3 linked regions of the Pelodiscus sinensis genome follow. The protein of the gene in region 2 interacts with the protein of the main gene of each other region in a pairwise test. Links are inferred from orthologs where the notes say so. Each region holds a gene or a part of one and is shown on either strand. Other genes may lie near its edges.

Region 1 (7,648 bases), on a different chromosome or scaffold from region 2:
TATACCATTTAAGAATAACAGAAAAAAAAGCACTCTAAGACTAGCTAGGCACCTCTCCCTTAAAATGTTCAGCAGAATGTTAAAACCCAATAACAGAAGAGTCCCCAAATGGAAAATGTCTGATGGTAGAGAGGTTCTCAGAGTAGAGTCCATACACTAACTAGTAATTGCAGAGCTCCGTGCATGGCCCATGAAACCACAGAAGAGAATAAAGTAGAGAAGGTAAGAGATTTTAGAGCAGTGGCTTTCAATATTTCCAGATTACTGTACTTCTTTCTAAAGTCTGATATGTCTTGTGTATCCCATTGCACCTTACTTTAAAACTTACAAAATCAAATATAACTGATAAGTGACACAGAACACTATTACTGAAAAATGGCTTACTTTCTCATTACCACTATACTGTTATAAAATAAATCAACTGAAATATAAATATTGTACTTACATTTCAGTGTATAGTATACAGAGCAGTATAAACAAATCATTGTCTATGAAATTTTAGTTTGTACAGACTTCACTACTGCTTTTTATGTAGCCCACTAAACTATTCAAATATCTAGATGAGTTGATGTTCCCCCAGAAAACCCCAGAGTACTCCCTTTAAATCAATGTTTTAGAAGATGGTTGAGAACATATTCCATGAGGTGATTTGGCTCTTCCAGAACAGAACAGAAATATACGGAAACCGCTGGCTAAAGTATGTGTGTCAGACAGCACCACCATCTCTAATGTTTTTTTAAAAAAGCAACCTGACACCAACCCACATAAAACCACACAAATAGCCCTATTTTTAGAGAAATTTTAACTTTGCTTACCTCCTGAAACAATGTTGCCTGCTAACACCCTTCATAACAGCACTTATATATCAACAAACCTCCATTAAAGAAGAACATACTGCATTTTAGTGTTATTTCAATCTATCCTCAAATTCATCCAGATAAGTGTTAGTCTCAAAACTCAAGAGTTGCAATACATTTGGGAAGTCACATTACCAAAGGAAGCCATGGCACTACCACTCAACACTTCTCCAACTCCTTTAATTACTTATCTCCTCCTGTCTGCCTTCCTATTTACATTGTTTCTTTCCCCTCCATTAAGACTGATGTCCATGTGATCCCAGTACACTAGCAAAGCGTTTTTCAACTTTTTTTTTGTGAAGTACCTCTTTTCCAAAAAAAGTACCCCCTTTTAAAAAAAATTATAAGTACCCCCAGTACCTACAGTTTTCAGACACACACAAAAATTTTCTACCATTGCAACACATTCGTTTAAACATCTTAATAGTAGCTGGGCGGGCAATTAAATTTTTGGGTGTAAAAAGTATAAAAATAATAAAGCGCTGTAAAACTTAAAACAAAAATTCCATTTTCTCCAAATTTCAGTTGTGTTGACGTACTTCCTCCCCTCCCCGACTTCTCTTGAGTACCCCTAAGGGTACTCGTGCCATTGATTGAGAAACACCGCACTAGCACATTACTTTGTGACACTTATTCCTGACAGCGAGTTCTAGTCTGTTAGGGTTAGTCTACACAGCACCCTAAATTCAAAATAAGACACGCAAATTGCATATCTTATTTCAAATCTTTTTTGAAATAGTTTCTTTTGAAATTTGGTGTGTCTACACAGCACCAAATTTCGAAATAACATTCCATTTCAAGCCATCTCTTATCCCTTGTGCAACATGGTTTACCGGGATGACAAAATAGTATGCCTGTTATTTTGAAAAATATTTCAAAATAATGGGCAGCTTGTGTTGATGTGGGGTTGCTACTTCGGGATACCTCTGGTATCCCAAAATAGCCGTGCAGTGTAGACGTACCCGTTTGGACTAGTCCCCCAGAGGAAGTGATGGACACCCTATTTGTCTGGAACATTTAAAATGAACAAAGGACAAGAATGTCCATTAGGAAACAATCCTGCATTAGCTCTGGAGAGGGTGGGAAGAAATAATATGTCCTAATAGGACTTTTCCCTGTCTCACTCTATGAGTATAAAAGTGACATGGAAAGTCCTTTTATCCTAAAGACACACAAAACCCCTGTGCGGATAGCACACGAAGTGGCCACCAAAGGAAACTTAGGCAAGCAAGTTTAGGCAGCAGCAAAGGCTCCAGCACACCATTCCTGAGCCAGCCCCTAACCTGGCCATTACATACATTCAAAAAGTGACAGAACGAAGACAGGTGTCCCAAGAGAAGAGAGCAAGTCGCATCTGCCTGCGAGATGGACCTTCCCCCTGGCCCCGGCTGAACAGCAGCAAGCCCAAGAGCCACTGAGACAGGAATCTTCCTCAAAGCCCTGCACATCAGTGGCCACCCCGGGCCCCCTCCCACTACAAGCCTTGCCCAGCCCCTGCAGGTCAATGGCCACCCCCCCCCCGTACCACAGGCCTTGCCCAGCCCCTGTGCCCCCCCAGCCAGCTCCTGTGCCCCCCCGTCCCACAGGCCTTGCCCTGCCCCTGTGCCCCCCCAGCCAGCCCCTGTGCCCCCCGTCCCACAGCCCCCCCCCCCGCCAGCCCGTGCCCCCCCATACCACAGGCCTTGCCCTGCCCCTGTGCCCCCCCAGCCAGCCCCTGTGCCCCCCGTCCCACAGCCCCCCCCCCCGCCAGCCCGTGCCCCCCCATACCACAGGCCTTGCCCTGCCCCTGTGCCCCCCCAGCCAGCTCCTGTGCCCCCCCGTCCCACAGCCCCCCCCGCCAGCCCCTGTGCCCCCCCGCCCCACAGCCCCCCCCCGCCAGCTCCTGTGCCCCCCCGTACCACAGGCCTTGCCCTGCCCCTGTGCCCCCCCAGCCAGCCCCTGTGCCCCCCCGTCCCACAGGCCTTGCCCAGCCCCCGCAGGTCCGTGCCCCCCCCGGTGTCCGTAGCCCGGCCCGTTCCCGCGCTGCTCGCGGGGGGAGGGGGGGCTCTTACCTGCCGCCGGGCGCGAGTCCCGGGGCCCCCGCTCCACGCTCCGCCGCGGCGAGTCCCAGCCACAACTTCGCCGCGCGCTCCCGACGCCCCCGCCCGGGCCCGCGCCTGTTGCTCGGCTCCCCCGCCGCGCGGGCGCGCGCCGCCCCAGCTGCCACGCAGGCCCTGCCGCCCGGGAGCGCGCGCGCCGCCGCCGGGGCCCCGCAGGCGAGGGGGCGGGGCGGGGCCGAGGGGCGCGCGCGCTGCTCCCCCCCCCACCCCCCAGCCCGCGCGCTCCGGGAGGGGCGCTTGCGGGGGGCGGGGCCCGAGCGCGGGGGTGCAATGGGGGGGGCAGCTCCGGGCTGCTCTGTTTGTGCAGCGCCGGGCACCCCCGGGGCAGTGGAGCCCCCCCCCGTGGGCGCGAGCGGGTCCCTGGTCTGCCCCAGGGAGGGGCATTTACCCGCCCGGCCCCGGCTGGGGGGTGCAGCTCGTGGGGTTCGCCCCCGAAACTCACCGGCCCGGGCTGGGGGGCAATGCCCCCCCCTCCCCCGGAGTCACTGGTGCACGCGGGCCCCTCGCCCTGGGTTCACTCACACGTGGCTGCCCCCCCCCTTGCTACCCTCCCCCTCAACCTGCGTGGGGGGCAGGAAGCGAGCGGGCGGAGATGAGTTGTCACCGGGGCAAAGGGCTATATTTAGAATTGCTTTCCTCGCCCCGTGCAGTGTTGGGGGGTGTGGTGCATGCACAGCATGCTCACAGAAGAGAACATGAGCTGCCCGCTCCTTCCACACACCTGCACTGAATAGTATGGAAAAGGTAACTAAGCCCACTGAAATCAGTTGAATTACTTTTACAACCCTAGTTTTTCTGTCGTAAATTCTGGGTTTCTGTTCTCCCTCCTCCAGCTCATCCGATGAAGTGGGTTTTGCCCACAAAAGCTCATGGTGCAATATATATATATTTGTTAGTCTGTAAGGCTAGCTCTGCACTACAGCTTTTTTTTCAGAAAAAAAAAAAAAAGCTCTTTTGGAAGAGGCTTTTCTGAAATTTGGCTCATCTACACTGGGCCAAATTTCAGAAAATCCCCCTCTTTCAGAAGATCCTTTCTTCCTCATGAAATGAAGACAGGGCTTCTAAAAGAGCGCATTTGCACTTCCGGAAAAAAAAGTGGGAGAGCAAACATGTTCCCTGGATACAGCAGAGTTTTTCCGGGATACCTCTGATATCCCAGAAAAACCCTGCAGTATACACATATTCTAAGGTACCACAAGACTACTCATTGCTTTTAAAGCTACATATAAGCAGGGCTACCCTCTGAGTAGATAGCCAGTGAATAAGTAGGATTGGGTTCTTAGTGCAAGACTAAAATTTAGGCTTTGCTAGAATTCAATAGGACTTTTCAAAACACAAAAGGAATAGAAATATTTCCATAAAATTTTCAATTTTAAAATAAAATGCTATTTTGTGGTAAAGGGTAGATTTAAATATTTCTCTGCTGTATTTTACAACTAAATATGATAGAGGGTTCTTTTTATTAGTGAAAGAGAATCCAAAGGTGAAATTAACTTATAAATAGAAGGGAAATTAACTACTTTGATTTCTCTATCAAAGCTGGGTGAGAAGCATGAACAAACAGTTTATATGGTGAAAAATACATTTTGTTTATAAAATTACGTTCTTGTAATTTAAAGTGTAGTCTACACTCAAAAAGGTTTGCAGGTAGCTACACGGGTACAGTCTGGACCTCTAAAATCCGGGACTCTCTGGTCCAGCAGGACGACGAATGTTGTTGGACCAGAGAGCCCTAGCTGTCCAGGTTAAAGCACAGCCAGGGCAGGGCTGGCGATGGGGAGCTCAGCCCCAGCGGGTACAGCGCGGTGAAGAGCACAACCCTGGCCAGGGCTGGCAGCAAGGACTGCAGCCCCAGTCAGGACTGGAGGTAGTAGGGCCGGGGGTCAGGACCACAGCCTTTGCCAGGACTGGTCCAATGCAGGATCACAGTCCCGGCCGGGGCTGGAGTCCACTAGGAGTGCAGCCCAGGCTGGCACTGGGAGAACAGGGTGAACAGCACTTGCTGGGGTTGGGGGTAATGGGGCTAGCCCCTGTCCTGGGGACGCAGCCTCGGGCAGGACTGGCACAGAGTGGAGCTGGAGGCAGTGACAGGGAGCGCAGCCCCAACTGGGAACAGAGCCTTGACCTCCCATTGTCCGGCAAACTCCATTGTTCAGGACCCCTCAGGTCCAGAGGGTGCTGGACAAGGGAGGTCCGACCTGTATATTCATATGAGAACCTTCCTAGGTTACACGCATTCAGCTTACGCAGGCAAAACAAAGTCCTTTTGTTAGTATAGATTATGCAAGTTTGATATGCAAAGTAAGCTATACTAGCAAAAGCACTTTTAGTCCAGTAAAGCTACATCTATGCTAGGGCTTTTGCAGGTGTAGAAATGATGCAGTGCAATCCTACCCCTAAACCAAATTGCAATACCACCAAAAGTTTCTAGTTGTAAACTTGGCCTGAGATGTTAGATGGTCCATTATTCTTTGCAAATAAATCTCAGACCTAATAGATTTGTTACTCCAAACATGTCTTGCAGTATATCTATCCATAAAAAGTAATATGTGTAAGGCATCTGCATAAAGCGTATGACTATCAAGATACAATCATCGTGAGATGTATGTACCAGGAATAATGCCTAGAAACAGTGTAACTAGATGGGAAGTATGCTTTATGGACTTGGAGTAGAAGTCTGTGACCAGAAGATAAGTCTTGGTGCTGGCTGATTCCACAAGGAGGGAAGCTATCATCCTGCCACGTTTAGCCAGTGAGGTAATGCAAGGCTCAGTTGTCTGGCCTTATTTCTTCCCAAGACTATCAATGGAATATCATCAGTGACTGCAAACAATCCAAACCACTTGGAGGTAAAAAAGGAACATTACAGCAGACCAGTTTGTCCTGTCTATAAATAAAGATAAAAGACTTTCCTTATAACAGAGGAGGGGGGGAACATATGCAACCTTTCACTGAGGATGCATCCTGGTTCTCCTGAAAAATTGGATCCTGCTTCCAGCCAGCCAGGTCTGCAACAGGCTGAACTTTGGGGGAAGCCTACTTCATGAGGTAAGAAGGTAACTTCATAAGGATAGACCCAGGTTTGTGTTTTATGATCCGTGCTATAAATGCTTTTCTACACCCCTCTCCCCGCTTCTAGTTAATTCTCCATTTTTTTTCACTAAAAAAAGGTAAGTTGATGTATAAGCACTCACAGTTAACACGAGCAGTGATTTAACACAAAACTACTAAACTGGGTCACACTGTTTCTTGGAGGAGGGGGCAAAAGTTTGGGTATTTCTGTGAGTAACCAGTGGCAGGGGCTGGATATCACAGAGGAATGATTGAAAGAGACAGAAACTGAGGTTCACCAGTTCAAAGACAAGACTGGTGTAGCCCACAGGCAAATGCTTACGTGACAAACAAGTTGGCAGTGTCAGGGAGCTAACACCAAGTTGCAACAAAGCAAGACACTCACACCTGAGGCAGGGCATAAGAGAATGACTTACTGAACAGGTTACGCCAAGAGACGTCACAGATGGCATTATGCTTTCTATACGTGTCTCTCTCAGCTAGGATTTTTCAGCTTCCCCACAATACCCACACCTGTTTGATTTCAACACATCTTCCTCCAGTGTATCTCTAATGGTGAAATTCAGGCTCGGGGTAACTTTGAAGCAATCCTTTGATTCTGAAGAGCATTGTTTGAGGCTTGGCTGTAACTATCCAGCTCTAAGGGGTAGTTTTAAAGTTCTTGAGTTCTCATCTTTGACTTCCACTCCCTAATGGCTCCTAAAAGAGGGATTTCTCATCCTAAGGTGGTGGTACCCTGCATGTGGATTTGCATGGCCTGACATAATTCTATCTTTTGACTAGTGTGTGGGCTCTGGAGTGTGTGTGTGGGGGGGGGGGGTTAGGGCTGGGGCAAGGGATTGGGGTGCCAGGTTGGGCATGGACTCACCCCCAGCAACTGTCAGTCAGCAGAGCAGCGGGGAGTCTAAGCCAGGCTTCCCGCCTTCCCTGGTGCCTTAGACCATCCTGTGCCCCGGTAGCAGCCACTAGCAGATCTGAGTCCTAAGCTGAGGTGCGCAAGTGGCTCAGCGTGCCGCTCTCACTCATAGGCACTGTCCTCCCCAGCTCCCAGTGGCTGGTTCCTGGCCAGTGGGAGTATGGAGCCGGTGCTCAGGGGCAGAGCAGTGCATGGAGCCTCATGGCCTCTGGCCTAGGAGCCGGGGCCACTTCTGGGGTACAGTGTGGTTTGTGGTGCCAGAACAGGCAGGAATCCTGCCTTAACGATCCCCATTAGTCACCTGCTCACCTGAGAGCAAAGAGACCCAGTGCCTGGCATTTGGGATGTTACATTTCAATTCATTAACTAATCGAATAGTCAATGGGATTTCCATCAACTATTCCATTGGTCGATAAGAACTAGCACATTCCGTCTTTGAAATGTACAAGAGCCCCTGCAGCAGCTCTTGTGCATTTCAAAGATCGAAATGCTGCGTGGAGCCTGGGGCCAGCGGGGAGTCCCGCTGATCCTGGGCTCCATGCCGGAACTTCCACTTCGAAATGTATCAGGGCCCGAGCTGGGGCTCTGGTGCATTTCAAAGATTGAAACGTCACGTGGAGCCTGGGGCCAGCCTACTGGGGCTCTTGTACATTTCAAAGAGGAAGCGCAGCAGGGAGTCTGGGGCCAGGGGAGGACTCTGAGTC
Region 2 (7,965 bases):
CCGGGCCCTGGGATGCAGCTGGCTCTGGGGTGGGAGCTGGGATTACAGGAACCCCCCCCCCCCCGGCTCTGGGGTGGAGCACGGGGCCTCGGTATACAGGAGCCCCTCCCTAGCCCTGGGATGCAGCTGGTTCTGGGGTGGGAGCTGGGGGCTGGGATTACAGGAACCCCCCCCCCAGCTCTGGGGTGGAGCACGGGGCCTCGCTATACAGGAGCCCCTCCCTAGCCCTGGGATGCAGCTGGCTCTGGGGTGGGGCAAGGGGCCTGGGTTTCTGGGAGCCCCTCCCAGGGTGGGGGCAACTCTCACCTTTGCCATCAGGAAGTAGCCGACCAGGTTGAGGTCGAGAAGGGCCCGGAAATGCTGGGCGGTGACGTCGTCAATTTGCTCCTCAGGAGGATCTGCGGGTGGGGGGTGAAAAGTGGGACTCCGGCCCCAAACCCCCTCCCCTCCCGACTCAGACTTGGGATCCCCATTTCCCCTTCCGTCAAGTCCGCGGGGCCCCCCATGACACCCCTTTATGGCCCTTGAGCCCCCCAGCTCAGGGGTTCCCCCCACACTCCCGGGCTGCCCCAGGGGCCCCCCCTCCTGTCCCCCAATGGGGGGGGCCACTCACGGCGGCCGGCGTTGTTCACCAGGCAGTCGATACGGCCGTAGCGCTTCAAGGTCACCGCGATCAGCGCCTGGGGGGCAGGAGAACGGGTGGGGGGTTGCGGGGGGCAAGGGGAGCAAGAGGCTGGGTGTGGGAGGGGAGGGAGGATGTGGGGGAATCGGGCAAGGTGGGGGCAGAGATGGAGGTGGGGGGAGCAGGGAGATGGGTGTGGGGATGGGGAAGAAGGAATTGGGGGTCCAGAGCAGGACACAGGTGGGGGGAATTTGACCCACTGGGCCCCAAGCTGAGGTTCCCCCCCCCCCAGTATTGCCCATCCCCCCACAGAAAGCACAGAGAGTAATATACACTTGCTGCATCTGCCCCTCCCCCACCCTGGAGCAGACCCCCCCCCCCGTACCACTTCCCCCACCCACCTGGATCTCCTCTTCGCTGGTGACATCACAGGGCTGGAAATGGGGCTCTCCAGGGCCCCCCGCTTCCTGCAGCTCCTGCTCCAGGGCCCGCCCCATGGCCTCTGCAAGGGAAAGGGGGCTATGGAGCACAGACACCAAACATGGGGTGGGGAGACTATCCAGGAAAGGGGGGGGAACCGGTTCTGGCAGGAGGACGGATTTCGGGAGCCGAGAGAGAACTATTCTCCCCCTCCCCCATCAGCACAAGGAGACTAGTCCCTCCCCCCCACCCCCCCAGGCTGCCAACTTCGGCCACAGGGGTCCCAGTAGGGATGTGAATGGTTAACCAATTAAACGGGATTTTACGTCCCTCACCCCCAGAAACACAGGGAGCAATCTCTCACCTTCAGCTTGGGGGGCACAGAAGACCACATTGGCTCCCTGCCGAACTGGGGGGGAGGGGACAAAGCGGGGTGCAACAGGGGATGGAGAAGCACATGGGGGAGGGAGATGAGAGAATCAAGTTAGCAGTAAAAACACCAGCACCAGTAAATCCCCAAGCGCTGCGAGCTTCCCCATAGCAGTGCCCCTAGACAGGAACTTCCCCCTGGTGCTGCGAGCTTCCCCATAGCAGTGCCCCCAGACCGGGACACACACAGAGCAACGTGAACTTCCCCCCAGCAGTGCCCCTAGACGGGAACTTCCCCCTGGTGCTGCGAGCTTCCCCCCAGCAGTGCCCCCAGACAGGGACACGCCCCCCCTTCACCCAGGAATGTGAACTTCCCCCCAACAGTGCCCCTAGACGGGAACTTCCCCCTGGTGCTGCGAGCTTCCCCCCAGCAGTGCCCCCAGACAGGGACACGCCCCCCTTCACCCAGGAATGTGAACTTCCCCCCAGCAGTGCCCCTAGATGGGAACTTCCCCCTGGTGCTGCGAGCTTCCCCCCAGCAGTGCCCCCAGACAGGGACACGCCCCCCTTCACCCAGGAATGTGAACTTCCCCCCCAACAGTGCCCCTAGACTGGAACTTCCCCCTGGTGCTGCGAGCTTCCCCCCAGCAGTGCCCCCAGACAGGGACACGCCCCCCTTCACCCAGGAATTTGAACTTCCTCCCAGCAGTGGCCCTAGATGGGAACGTCCCGCGTGGTGCTGCGAGCTTCCTCACAGCAGTGCCCGTGGGAGACGATGCAGCTCTGCTGACCCCTGCTGGCCAGCCCCACACATCTCAAGATACATTAATCTCAACTCGTCCCCCCCACGTCTCCACTGAACAAGGGGATGGAGGGGGAGGGGGAGGGGGAGGGAGGAGGGGAAGGAAGGGGAAGACCCCCCCAATAAGTCCAGTCTCCCCGTTAGCAGCGGAGTTTGGGGGCTGCAGGGGGTTCGCTGCCGCGTTCTTCACCCATGGCCCCTCCCCCCATCTCCCAGGGTCAGCGACCGGCCGAATAGATGGACACGGGACAGACAGACAAAGTCCACGAAGATGCCAGACGCAGCCCAACCTTGGAGTCTGCCCCCCACTCCCAGCCCCCCAGGAGCCCCACATCCACCCTCTTGCAATGTCCCAGCCCCCCACAAATCTCCCCTGATCCCCTCCGCAGGGCTCTGCTCCCCCACGGCCGCCTCCGCCCCCCTACTGCCCCCCCTTCCCCAAGCTTCCTCACCCCGCTGCAGCCCCCCCCCGCAAGCCCCTTGCCCCAGAAGCGCCCCCCCCCGCAAGCCCCTGGCCCCAGAAGCGCCCCCCCCCCCGCAATGCCCCCAGCCCCCCTGCAGGTCCCCCCGCACCAAACTCCTTCACGATGGCCGCGCCGATGCCGCGGCTGCCCCCGGTGACAATGGCCACCCGGCCCGGGTAGCGCAGCCCCGAGGCCATGGTGCTGGGCGCACCCGGGCTCGCAGCTGCTCGGGGCGAGGGAAAAAGGGAAGCTGCTGCCCGCAGGGCACATGAGGGGCGGTGCATCCTGGGAAATGTAGTCCTGTCCGGCGGGGGCGGGGCATCCTCCCTCTAGGGGGCCGCTCCCACCCGGCCACAGGGCAGGGCCTGGCTGGCTATGGGGGGCAGGGGATTTGTCTGGGCAATAAAGTTTCAGAGATTCAAGGGCTCAACAAGGGCAACATAAATGAGATTTATTGAGTACATTTGTCTGCGATGTGCCCCCACGAACGCCCCGAGGGTCCAGGGGAAATCGAGGCTGAGTTCCCAGCTGCCCCTGGGGTGGGGTTCTGGGTATCCAGGGACCGGTGTGCCCTGTAAGCTGAGCGCTTGGGCGGCCATCCAGGGGAGAGTCAGCTGCAGCCGAGCAGGTTGGCAGAGCGCCCACAGCTCAGTTTTGTTTGCACAGGCGGTGCACGTCCGCACATGCTTCGGTACGCACATTTCTTCCGCACAGGTGGTGCACATCCGCACATGCATTGGTACACATAAAATTTATTCCACACATAGATGGAAAAGATTAGGGGGAACACTGACAGGGGCCCCTTGACTGGCGCTGGGCCAGGGCCCCACTGCAGTAGGGCGGGGGCTGGGTACACAAGGACCCCTCGCCCCGCCCAAAGAGAAAGCCCCTGGCAGTGGGGAGAGTGCAGGCTGTCAGCAATTAGCAGGTTCCCACGTCTCTGACTCCAGCTGCATTGGGACTGTGGCTGAAATCTGCTGGCCCCAAAGCCCAGGTGGGGGGCAGAGGACCATCCAGTACCCCACAAATCCCCCTTCCCACTGGCCCCTGACTGGCCCCTTCGCTGCAGCTCCTGTAGGGTGGGTGTTGGGAGGGAGCCTAGGGCAGGGGCTGCAGGGCGGTTGTGAGGGGCACTGGCAGAGCTGGTGGGGGGCTGGACTAGAAGAGGGTTCAGGGAGTGCACTTCCCAATCTGCCCACCAGAGGGCAGCAAGATGCTGGGACCCTGCATGGGGCTAGGGCAGGGGTCTCCAGCCTTTTTAACCCCAAGGTCACCTGTTCGATGGAGGGGCAATGTCACCCCCACATACCCTTCCCCCGCCCCTTCTCTGAGGCCCCTTTCTCCTCCCCCACCCTCACTTACTCACACAGGCTGGGGTAGGGGGTTGGGGTGCAGGGTCTGGTCTTGGGCCAAGGGGTTTGGCATGGGGGGGGCTCCGGGCTCAGCCAAGGGCGGGGGATCGGGGTCCGGGGGGGTTCAGGGTGCAAGTTCTGGGAAGGAATTTGGGTGCAGGGGGACTCACGTCTGGGGCAGGAGAAGGTTCGGGGCAGGGACAGGGGTTCAGGGAGCAGACTCTGGCGGTTTCCGCTGGGTGGGGCAGGGGGGTTAAGGCAGCTGACGTCCACCCTGCCCCCGCCCCGCTCCTGAAAGCAGCTGGCAGCTCAGCAACAGCTCCGTGGCGCCATGTGCTGCCCCTCCTCTACCGGCACTGAGCCCACAGCATCCACTGGCCTCGGTTCCCCGTTACTGATCAGTGGGAGCTGTAGGAGCGGGGTCGGCATGTGGAGTCCCCCTGCTCTGCCTCCCTCAGGGGCTGCAGGGACATGGGACCATCTCCACCAGCAGCAATGGCCACGGGGCTGGTGACTCCGGCCACGGCAGGTGCGGCAGTTTAGAACTCACGGCCCAAAGAATGACACTGACGCGCTAGAGAAACGAAAACGATGACACGCACGGAGCTGTCCCAAACCGAAAGGAACCCACTTTGCAAGCAGGAAAAGTAACAACCCCCCACGTGTGTGTTGGGTGGGGAGAGGAGAGGGAAGGACGGGGGGGGGGGGGTGAGACAGAGACGGACACACACACAGTGTGAGATCTGCCTTGCCACGCTCCCTCCATCCCCTTCTCTCTGTGTGGAGATGGGATACAGAAGTGGGGGAGAGGGGAGACACCCTGACATCAGCGCCCCCCCTTGCCCGCCCCACACCCTGCACAGCGAGCAGGAGGCTCTGGGGGGCAGCTCTAAGGCAGAGGGCAGGAGCAGCAGGACCGTGGGGCAGAGGGGCAGCGCTTGAGAGCTTCCCGGCCAAACCAGTCAGGATCCCAAGATCAACTGGTTGGTGACTGGGTTAGGGAGTCCCCAGTCTGACCTTTGACCCTGGGTCCCAGCCCCACCTCCCCTTTGGGCACATCCCCATATATAGCCCCCCCCCCCGATGATGCAGAGAAGGGGCGGGACTTGACCCTGCCTCTGAGCCAATGGGTTAGAAGCTGGATTGCAGCAGGGTTATCCTGATTGGCTGGCTCCCCTCGCACAGGTACGCCACCACCTGGCTGGGTGGGGCATGCGCACCCTGCCCCTGGCACCTGCCATTGGCCAAGCCTTTGTGACCCACAATCCTTTGCTCCAGCACCCAATTCCCACAATCCTTTTGGGAGGCCCAGAGCGGAGGCAACGCCCGACTGGATGCCTTGTGTACAGTCGACGTCCCATTGGCCAATTCAGGCAACGGGGCTGCCCAATGCGATGTGTCCGGCAGTGGCGATGCCCGATTGGCTGCCTCCGACAGACACGAGGCCTGATTGGCTGCATCTGGCGAGGCGGACAACCAGTGAGAAAACTCAGAAACAGACGATGCCCAATTGGCCGCTTGATTTAGAGGCGATGCCTGATTGGCTGATTCTGCCCGCTGCACGGATTGGGCGGTAAATGCCGTCTTCTGATTGGCCGGGCTGCACGGTTTAGTCACGACGTGATTGGCCCCTGGGTCTTCCCTGGAGGCTATCATGGTAAGCGGTAAGTGCTGATTGGTCACTGCATGCAGCGACTCTGGGGAGGGGTTCAGACGGGGGTCACAGCCCTCCCGCTGGGGTTCAGGCGGGGGCTTCCCTGCACAGAGAGAGGAAACCAGAGTCACCCCCCCCCAAAGCCGAGACCTCTGGGGTGGGGGGGGCTGGGTATAGGCGACCCCTCACCCAGCATGGAGATGCAGCCACCTCTGGGGTGGGGCACGGGGCTGGGCATGAGGCAACCCCTTCAGATCTTCAGTGAATTAAAGAGAAATGGGCCCCTTGCCCAGCCCCACCCCCTGCCCCAGACTCTCCCCCACCCCCCAGCTGTTCCTACCCCAGGGACCTGCCAGCCGGAGCCAGAAATTCCCCCAACAGCTGAACCAGATTCCAGCCATTTTCCACTGTGTTTGTTTAGCTGTTTTCCCGTTGGGAGGGGAGGGGAGGGGAGGGGAGGGGGTCTAGAAAGAGGCCCCTAAAGGGGGGGGTAAAACTCGGGCATCCTGGTTCCCAGCCCCCTGCTCTGCCCACTAGACCCCGCCCCCCCGCCCCCCGAGTGTCCAGGCCCCCAGCCCTGTTACCTGTGATGAGTTTGCTGCGCTCAGAGGCCTCGGTGGCCAGCGCGTATGCCAGGCTCCTGATCCGGTGACGGTCTCTCTCGGGGGGTAGGGAAGGCCCGCCCCAGTGTCCCTTGGTCTGCCCCCCCCTCACTGGTACGTCCATGTCGGTCAGGCTTGGCTCCGGCCCGAGGCTGGGAGGGGGAGCTGGAAGGCGGAACTGGAGAATTTTGGAAGGCGGAGTGAAGGGAGGGAATCTAAGCAGTTCAGCGTGTCCGCCCCGCCCCCCGCCCATGTCCTAACCCAGGCACACACCTCTAACGCTAACCACTAGACCCCGCTCCCCTCTCCGAACCTGGAAAGAACCCAGGGGCCCTGCACTACTGGCAGGCCGGAGGTGAGCTTGACTGGGGGGGCACAGTGGGTGTGGCCTCAGGACATGCCCCACCCCCTGGCAGCCCCTCCCCCGCAGGCTGCGTACCCACCCGGCTGGCGCTGGTCCGGAGGGAGCCAGGCCGAGGAGCCCCAGGCGTCGGCCTGGCCGCCTCATGCTGCCTCTGCCCTTCCTGGTGCCGCCGCATCCTCGCCAGCTGCTCCTCAATGCTCATCCGGGCCCGGTGGGGACCAGGGGGTTCTGGCACACGCTCCTGGGGTAAGGGGAGAATCGCAGACCAAACACCTGCAGGGAACCCAGGCGTCCGGGCTCCCAGCCCCTCCTCCCCCCCGCTCTAACCATTAGATCCCACCCCCTTCCCCGATGTGGGGAGAGAACCCAGGCGTCCGGGCTCCCAGCCCCTCCCCTCTCCGCTCTAACCATTAGACCACACCCCCTTCCCCAATCTGGGGAGGGAACCCAGGCGTCTGGGCTCCCAGCCCCTCCCCTCTCCGCTCTAACCATTAGACCACACCCCCTTCCCCAATCTGGGGAGGGAACCCAGGCGTCTGGGCTCCCAGCCCCTCCCCTCTCCGCTCTAACCACTACACCCCAGGGCCCTCCCTGTTCTGGGGAGATAACCCAGGCATCTGGGCTCCCAGGCACCGACTCCCAGGGGAGTGAGGGAGCCCAACTACCTTGGCTGGCAGCTCCTCGGTTCTCTGCTCCCAGGGCTCCAGGGGGCCTGGGCGGGGGGCGGCTGGAGGCGAGTGGAGACCTGTGGGGGCAGGGGAGGGGGTTAAAGGGGCGGGGAAGGGACAAGAGGGGTGCATGTTTCCCCAGACAGACTAGGCAAGGGGGGAGGAACCGCACCTGGTGCCGCGTCTGTCTCCTGCAGGGGGGGCCCTCCGTCCAGCTCGGGGGACCCAGCCCCTCTTCTAGAAGGGCCCTGGGGGGGCTGGGAGCCCCAGGTCTCCCCCCTCGTCGCTGGGACCTCGTCCCTCACGCCAGCTGCCTCGCCCTGCGGGGAACAGAGAGACGTGGGGGGGGGGAGCCAGGGTCTGTGGGGTGGGAGGGAGGGGCACTGGCAGGGCTGGGGGGCTGGGCTAGGACAGTCAGAATTGGGGCCCCCTTTGACAGCAGCCCCCAGTTCTTCCCCCAGCCAGTCCCCACTCCCCAAGGATGGGTCCCCCCCCCAGGAGTGCAGCCCCCCCCTCACCCTGGCAGATGGCTCAAGGCTCCTTCCATCCGGCCCTGGGAGGGGGCTCTGGGCTGAGCCCCCCCCAGGCTCCAGAACGGGGGAGGCAGCCGGAGAGAAGCCTGCAAAGGAGACAAAACAGAGTCAGTGA
Region 3 (8,032 bases), on a different chromosome or scaffold from region 2:
CCATGATTCCTGATTGCTTGTCAGAGATTCTTGCGTCCAAGGAAGCCAGCCCTTTTGAGATCCTGGCTTCTAACTAGCTCCATCACAAGATGGGCCTCATCTTCCAGGCCATCCAAGAATTCCAGTCAACTCAGAAAAATGAAAAATCACTAGCAAAAGCTGACTAGCTGTAGATTTTTACAGAAGAGGACTCTGGCTCAGATTAATTGAAAAGCCTATAACAGTCTGTATAGAAAATAAGATAGGTTTTTACTACTAAACAAACTTCTTTTCACAACTACTAGGCTGGAGAAATACAGCTACATGTAGTCCTAGCACACATACTTCCTTCCAACACCCAGACCATCTCTTTCCCTGGATTCTGTTAGTCCCTCTCAATTTTGGCCCTGTAGCCAGATGAATACAGTTTTCCTCTTCTGGGGTATCAAAGTACAAATGTGTCAGGCAGTCTTCTGTTACACCACCTAGACTGTGCCACTTTTCTGGTAGCTGGTAGAAGCATCCAGGCTTACCTTTCACTCCAAGTTCCAGCCCCAAAACCACATGCTATCCAATATTAGACCCTGTTGTTTTTTCCCCATCTACTGTGTCCCTCTGCTGGCCCAATAGTTACCAATAGAACATCCTCTGTTCCATTTGGCTGTGATGTTACACCCCATGTTTTTATGCAAAATATGCTTTTGAATATGAATATGCATAACTAAAATATGCTTTATGCAGAATGGGGCAAGTAACCTATCCTTCAAGAACGTGTGATTCCCTGCATGTGTAGATTCTGTTTGTGTGCATATATCTTTCTTGCATGTGAAGTTATAAATAAGAAGTGTAAACCTCCTTATTAAACTAAGTCTTCTAGTAAAAGCCAATAGTGGTAATTAAGGAACTTAATGGCCCAGTGCTTGAGGCAACAATCTGTAATTTGTTTTGTTTTTCCTGTAAGCCTAAACTGTAGGGCTATGTCTAGACTGGCATGATTTTCCGGAAATGCTTTTAACGGAAAAGTTTTCCGTTAAAAGCATTTTCGGAAAAGAGCGTCTAGATTGGCACGGACACTTTTCCGCAAAAGCACTTTTTGCGGAAAAGCGTCCATACCAATCTAGACGCACTTTTCCGCAAAAAAGCCCCGATCGCCATTTTCGCGATTGGGGCTTTTTTGCAGAAAACAAATCTGAGCTGTCTACACTGGCCCTTTTACGCAAAAGTTTTGCGCAAAAGGACTTTTGCCTGAACGGAAGCAGCATAGTATTTCCGCAAGAACACTGACAATCTTACATGAGTTCGTCAGTGCTTTTGCGGAAATTCAAGCGGCCAGTGTAGACAGCTGGCAAGTTTTTCCAGAAAAGCGGCTGATTTTCCGGAAAAACTGGCCAGTCTAGACACAGCCTAGTTGTTCCTACAAAGACCGGTGACCATGCTGCCTGAATCTGTTTTTTTTCCTTTGGGATGGGGAGGATGAAACAAAGACTTCCCACACTGGGAAAATTGTATTTAAGGAACAGAATCAATATATGATTGTCTTTAACTAGCTTCACAAACTGCTCCCCTCCACAAGAGGACACATGAAGGCTATGTCTACACTGGTGGCTTCTTGCACAAGAACATCTTGTGCAAGGGTTCTTGTGCAAGAAGTCTTGCGCAAGAAAACGTCCACACTGCCATGTGCGACCTGTGCTTTTGCACAAGAGCGCCCATGGCAGTGTGGATGCTCTCTTGCGCAAGAAAGCTCTGATGGCCATTTTAGCCATAGGGCTTTCTTGTGCAAAAAATCCCTGCCGAGCGTCCACACTGCCCTCTTGCACAAGAGAGCCTGCGAAGAGGGCTTACACCTGTTAAAAAAGAGCATAGCTCTTGCGCAAGAAGCCCTCTCTTACCACACCGTACTGTAAATCTTCTTGCGCAAGAGCGGGCGGGCCGTGTGGACGCTCTGCGGATTCTTGTGCAAGAACAGCCATACTTGCACAAGAAGTCGCGAGTGTAGACATAGCCGAAGAGACCGAGAAACAACCCTAACAACGGGAGCAGCTGTTAGGCCCAGGTCAGAGAAAAGATGAACTCTGACTTGAAGAATTTTACCTGAAGTAAGAACTACGGGGAGGAATTAAGTTATGTAACAATTTCTCTCAGTGTATTAGGCTTAGCTGGCATATTTTGTTTATTTTAGCTTATTAACTTACTTTGCTCTGTCACCACTTGCAATCATTATAATCCTACCTTTTATACTTAATAAAATCACTTTTGTTTATTATCAACCCAGTGTAAATAACTGTTACTTGGGGGACAGGGACAACAGATGTGTACATCTATTTCATTGATAAAGAGAACAAATTTTATGAGCTTTCTCTGTGTAAAACTTTTATTCAGAGTAAGACAGATTTACTGGGGGGACTGGTCCCTATTTGAGGCTGTACTCCTAAGTGTTGTCAAGTCCCTGTTATTGAGCCCTCAGAGAGATGAGCTATTATCAGTGTCTGTGTTACTGTGCTGAGGGTCTGTTATCCCAACTCTGTGCCTTTGCTGGGGGAGACCAGAGCTTCTGGCCCAGCAGGACAGGGTAGGCGAGCTCAGTGGTATGATCAGCACATCAGTGACATTCTGAAGGGGATGTCTGTGATCCAACCCATCACAGTGGTTACTTCATCCTCCCTCTAGTTCTGGCCAGCATCTCTATTCCCAGGTAAGACTCCCAAGGATTATTTTTGTCTCTTACTTAACACCCCCTTTTTTCCCCATAGCCCCTATCTTGCACCATCCTCCTTCTTGCGTTTTATATAAGCTCTGCATGCCTCTGCCCCACTGTGATTAATCACTTAAGAGGTTAGCAGCTCTGACTATATTCCAGGGATAGCCTGTTATAGGGTTAATAGGCCCTTTCTATCTATTCAGGACTGTGATGAGATATATACCCCATCATGGTCCTCTCCTGCAGATTAGAAACAGGGGTTAAAAATAGCAATGAGATTCAGCTGGGAAAACTGCAGCTAACACATCTGGTGGAAAATGATCTGTGGTGTGGGAGGCTGGTCCCAAGAGCAAGGGATACAAGAATTGCTTTGCCTGGGGATGGTGTAGGGGTGGGCAAGCACCTTGGATTTTATATAATAAGGTAATTAACGTGCCTGAGATGTGGAGGTAGGTAGGTTAGATATCGTGTAATTGAATCGTCATGTAATCACATGACACTTTAGTGGTTACACCACTATTTGATAGTCCCAGGGGAGCCCCCCTGCACTGTTACCTCTGTATCAGGGACAGCAGCATGGAATGGCAGGCGGAGCTGGTCCGTTTAGGGAGCCAGTTAAAAAAACCATCTCCTCAGGCCGACTGGTTGCCTGCTGCCCCACTATGACACATTAATACAACCTGAGCAGTTGGTGGATACTGACACGCTCCCTCTCAGGAGTGTCCTCTTTTTCGAAAGTTCAAAAATGGTAACCCTAGGGAACCAGCATTTAAGCTGGCTCCCCCAGCACCCTCCGCGCTGCCTCTGGAGGAGGCAGCAAGGGGGAGGGAGGGGGCCCACAGAGCTGCTCCTGGTGCATATTGGCTCCAGCCTACTCCCTCTCTCCATCAGTGGCAGCAGCGGGGGGGGGGGGGGTAGGTGGAGCTGGTGCTTGGGGGGGGGGGGAGGAGAAGTGTGTGTGGGAGACCAGATCACCCCCATGAGCCCAGGTTAACCCTGTGGGTACAGGATCGCTTCCCCAGGCGGCGGCGGGCACGCGGGGGCAGTGGAAGCGGATCACAGGATTTCACAGAAGGCTCCTGACGGGCGAACCATGGCAGGGTCTGAGTGCGCTCTGCCAGCTCCCCCTTACCTGCGCTCTCCGGGCAGCCCCGCAGCCAGGCCCATAGTAACAAGGGGGGGCGGAGGAGGGTCTCCTCTGAGGAGAGCGCGGGGCCGTGGGCTTTGACCGCAGGTGCGGGGGGGGGGGGAGGGGGAGTTTCGCGCCGGGGCGGGGCTGCGGAGCCGGCAGCGCGCGGTCCTTCCGGTGGAGCTCGGCGCGCCTCCTCCCGAGCTTGGCCTCGCCGCCCCCCCCTCCCCCCGCTCGCAGCGCCGGCTGGAGGCGCGCGGGCCCAGGTGAGCCGCCCGCACTGACTCCCCCCTCCTCCGTCTCCGGGGGTCTCTGGCAGTTGGGAGGGGCATTGGGCGCAGCCCTCCCCCGGGCTCTTCGGCAATTGAGGGGCACTGGCTGCAGCCCCACCCCCTCCGCGGCGGCAGTTGGGGGAGGCGGGGCACGGGGTACAGGCCCACCCCCTCCCCGGCGGCAGTGGGGGAGGCGGGGCACGGGGTACAGGCCCACCCCCTCCGCGGCGGCAGTTGGGGGAGGCGGGGCCCGGGGTACAGGCCCACCCCCTCCCCGGCGGCAGTTGGAGGCGGGGCACGGGGTACAGGCCCACCCCCTCCGCGGCGGCAGTTGGGGGAGGCGGGGCCCGGGGTACAGGCCCACCCCCTCCGCGGCGGCAGTTGGGGGAGGCGGGGCACGGGGTACAGGCCCACCCCCTCCCCGGCGGCAGTTGGGGGAGGCGGGGCCCGGGGTACAGGCCCACCCCCTCCGCGGCGGCAGTTGGGGGAGGCGGGGCACGGGGTACAGGCCCACCCCCTCCGCGGCGGCAGTTGGGGGAGGCGGGGCACGGGGTACAGGCCCACCCCCTCCCCGGCGGCAGTTGGGGGAGGCGGGGCACGGGGTACAGGCCCACCCCCTCCCCGGCGGCAGTTGGGGGAGGCGGGGCACTGGCTGCAGCCCCACCCCCTCCCCGGCGGCAGTTGGGGGAGGGGCACGGGGTACAGGTCCACCCCCTCCCCGGCGGCAGTGGGGGAGGTGGGGCACGGGGTACAGGCCCACCCCCTCCGCGGCGGCAGTTGGGGGAGGCGGGGTACAGGCCCACCCCCTCCCCGGCGGCAGTGGGGGAGGTGGGGCACGGGGTACAGGCCCACCCCCTCCCCGGCGGCAGTTGGGGGAGGTGGGGCACGGGGTACAGGCCAACTGTAGCTTCCCTCCAGCTTGGTTTGGTTGTGGCCCTGAGACAGGCCCTGGTGTGTACATGGGCTGTATGTGCCACGCCAGGAGTCGCCTGTCCCTGTGTGCACAGCCCGAAGTCAGGGGCAGGGCTGCCGTCCTCTGAAGGCAGCTGAGGTCTCAGCCTGGGAAGTGTGCACTGGGCATTGCAAAGTTCTGTCTGTGCTCCGGGAAAGGGCTGCTCTCCCAGCAGCTTAGGGTGCAGATGCTCCAGCAAGAACTTAAAGCCGGGTTTCCATTTTTCACTGCTGTGGAGTGTGTGCTGTGCACATGGAATGCGGCTACTGCCCAACAGCAGCCTTGCACAAACAGGTTAGGACTGTAAGGGAAGATTAGCTGTATTAGTCTGAAACCACCTGAGAAGTTCCATCCCAAGTCCTGCAAAAACAGACATGTTGATTCCTTGGGACTATTTGAGTGTTTACACTATTCATGTAGTGTGACTTAGTTCCACTTTGCCCCCTAGTGTAGACCTGGCCTAAATTTTCACAAGTTTCAGGTCTATGTCAGGGCTGAGTTTAATAGTGCTTGAAGACACGGAGGTAAACATAGGTAAATAGCATTGTGTGTTAGTGTCTTCAGTGGTTACCACAGTGATACTCAGACTATGGTTCACAAGCTGTATGTGTATGGTTCACAATCACTATCGTGATTTAATTGTTCACTAATCAGGATGCTTTTACTATGTCAGTTAATTGTTATCCAGTTGCATCAAGTTATTGACTTTTTTGTTGTGAGAATTATATATGTAAAAACAAAATATTTCCTGTCATGTTGCTTAAATATGAACAGTACCATGTAGGGATGTAATAGTGTAGTTGATTAACCGATAAGCAAACGTTTATAGGCTACATGCATTCCCTCCACCCCCAGTACATTTTTTAGCAGACTGGCCAGCAGCCTGGCTCAGTCCTAGCTCATGCCAGACCCAGCACCTACCCCCACTGCAGCTCTGTATTTAAAGCTTGTTAGGAGCCAGGTGGACAGGCAGCCTTGGCTTAGTTCTGGCTTGAACTCGGTCTGGGAACTCAGACCCACCCCCTATATAGGGTCTGTTGCCACTGGGCACTTTTGCCTCTATCAGAGGCAGCAGTGTGAGGTGCATCCGGTCTGTAAGGGGAGCTGGTTTTTAAACTGGCACCTGGTGCTTCCACCTGGCACCCGAGCAGGGGGCTCCTCAGGAGTGGGGCCCAGAGTGCACTGGCTGCTGGCCCCCACCCCCGGGGACTAAAGAATAGTCAAGTAACCAGTAAAAATTCATGAGGTTAACCTACTATTCAATTAACCGTTATTTAATATTCCTAGTACCATGGGGAATGAAACCATGAATTCACACTACTGTGGGTCTTCTGGGTAATGCTGATTAGTAATTTGGTTCTTGAACCACAGAGGTCTGAGTATCATTTGGCTCTAAGTAATCAGTGCCTCCCTTTTATGTCTCATGTAAAAGAAGGGGTCCCCATCAGCAAAATGCCTCATAACACCTTACTGGGGCATTGAGTTAGAATTGTGTCATAGAGCATAGTGACAGAACCACTGGCTGCTTTCTTAGGGAAACTTATTAATGCAATGTCCACTTGGCCTGGGGCTGCTAACTTGTGAATGAATTTTGACATCCAGACTTTAAAGAATCTGCAAAAGTAATAAAAGGGTTGCTGTTTTGTTCAGTTCTTTATGTAAAGGTGTGCTGGCAAAAAAACCTTAAAAGTATATTAGAAATTCAGGTATTGTCTACTTTAAAGACTGTGTGGATGACTGAAGAACTAGTAGGAAAATGACATTGTAGGCACCAAGGAAATGGAACTTGTGTGAAGAAGTGTTTATTCTGTTTATAATCGTGGTGGTTTGTTTATTTGTTAATGCCTACCTAACTCAAATGCTTGACAGTTTTGGAGGAAAAAATCAGTAAGGAAGAGTAACAATCCCATTCCTTCAGTTAAGCATTGCCATAGTTACCACTGGTGTTCTTGGCTCCTCCAAAGAATCCTCAGCAAAAACAGGAAATTCAATACTTATAAAGTCATAAATGTTAAAAATAGAAGAGACCATTATGATCACTAGTCTCATCTTCTGTGTCACGCAGGCCAGATAATTTCACCCTGCACATTCCTCATCAAGCCCAATAAATAACTAGAGCAGAGAGATAGTATTTCAGTAATGATCTCACCTGTGTCAAATACAGAGGTATTACAACCCAATCTTTTGTCATCTGCGACATTTAAATAATTGGATTTTATATTGTCTTCCAGATGATTGCAAATATATTGAACATCTTTATCAATGAGAACTGATTCTTGTGGCTCCCCACCAGAAGCCCAGCATCTTGAGGATGAGTCTCTTTTAGCACTGACATTTTGAAATCTGACAAGTTTCTAATCCATTGAATATGTGCTATGTGGATTTCTGAATGATACCGCTTTACTCAGCATGTCATGAGATACAGAATCTTGCAGAAGTCAAAACATTTTGCTTCTTGTTGGGAATTAATTCTACCATCCTTTAATTCTGTATTAGTTGGGTCTTGTATTAGACATTCCATTATTTTACCCAGGATCACTGTCAGTCTGTTTGGCCTATAATTATCCCAATGATCCCAACTTTTCCTTCCAGTCCCCTGGAATTTCCCAAGTATTATGAGATTTATTAACTACTAGCAGACTTACGTGGCATTGCCCAAGTCTTTCAGGGCAGGGCCTTCAGGATGTGGGTGTGTGCTGGGCCAGGAGTGTGTTCTCTCCCCCCAGCCCACCCGGGGCCTGTTCTCTCACTCTCGCCTCCTTGATGCTGCAGCCAAGGGCTGGGAAGGGGGAAAGGGTTTGGAGCGGGGGGGGCTACTTACTCAGTGTGGTCTGTACTGGCAGGCAAGATGGCATAGCCTCAGCCCTGCTGCCCCTGGGGAACAGTCTTTAATATAGCTCTTTAATATCGCTGCCTGTAGAGGCTACTCTCCTTTTGCGAGCTTCGGAACAGCAGCCCCTCCCTTTGCATGTTATGGAAAGCTGTCCTTTGCCCGGGCT

Evidence for each region.
Region 1: the proteins of HSD17B14 (region 2) and NEK6 interact in binary tests that used the Homo sapiens proteins (3 or more experiments, as listed by UniProt). The two-hybrid records come from large-scale screens. The link is inferred for Pelodiscus sinensis from reciprocal best matches to the Homo sapiens genes HSD17B14 and NEK6.
Region 3: the proteins of HSD17B14 (region 2) and MPG interact in binary tests that used the Homo sapiens proteins (3 or more experiments, as listed by UniProt). The two-hybrid records come from large-scale screens. The link is inferred for Pelodiscus sinensis from reciprocal best matches to the Homo sapiens genes HSD17B14 and MPG.

The regions. Positions count from the first base shown.
Region 1 is NC_134732.1:24,211,328-24,218,975, reverse strand, and holds the start of NEK6 (serine/threonine-protein kinase Nek6), read right to left. Parts: upstream 3,068-7,648; 5' UTR 2,909-3,067; intron 1-2,908. UniProt on the Homo sapiens protein: Protein kinase which plays an important role in mitotic cell cycle progression. Required for chromosome segregation at metaphase-anaphase transition, robust mitotic spindle formation and cytokinesis.
Region 2 is NW_027465977.1:64,076-72,040, reverse strand, and holds the start of HSD17B14 (L-fucose dehydrogenase), read right to left. Parts: upstream 3,065-7,965; 5' UTR 2,962-3,064; coding exon 2,787-2,961; intron 2,711-2,786; exon of another isoform or gene 2,430-2,710; intron 1,452-2,429; coding exon 1,407-1,451; intron 1,125-1,406; coding exon 1,024-1,124; intron 681-1,023; coding exon 614-680; intron 399-613; coding exon 307-398; intron 1-306. Other genes in the region: PLEKHA4 (pleckstrin homology domain-containing family A member 4), read right to left, coding at 5,161-5,786, 6,268-6,463, 6,729-6,890, 7,315-7,394, 7,490-7,637, 7,836-7,936. UniProt on the Homo sapiens protein: Catalyzes the NAD(+)-dependent oxidation of L-fucose, yielding L-fucono-1,5-lactone, which rapidly converts spontaneously to L-fucone-1,4-lactone. Can also act on D-arabinose and L-galactose, with lower catalytic efficiency. Does not use NADPH.
Region 3 is NC_134726.1:4,783,616-4,791,647, reverse strand, and holds the start of MPG (DNA-3-methyladenine glycosylase), read left to right. Parts: upstream 1-4,940; 5' UTR 4,941-5,285; coding exon 5,286-5,327; intron 5,328-8,032. UniProt on the Homo sapiens protein: Hydrolysis of the deoxyribose N-glycosidic bond to excise 3-methyladenine, and 7-methylguanine from the damaged DNA polymer formed by alkylation lesions.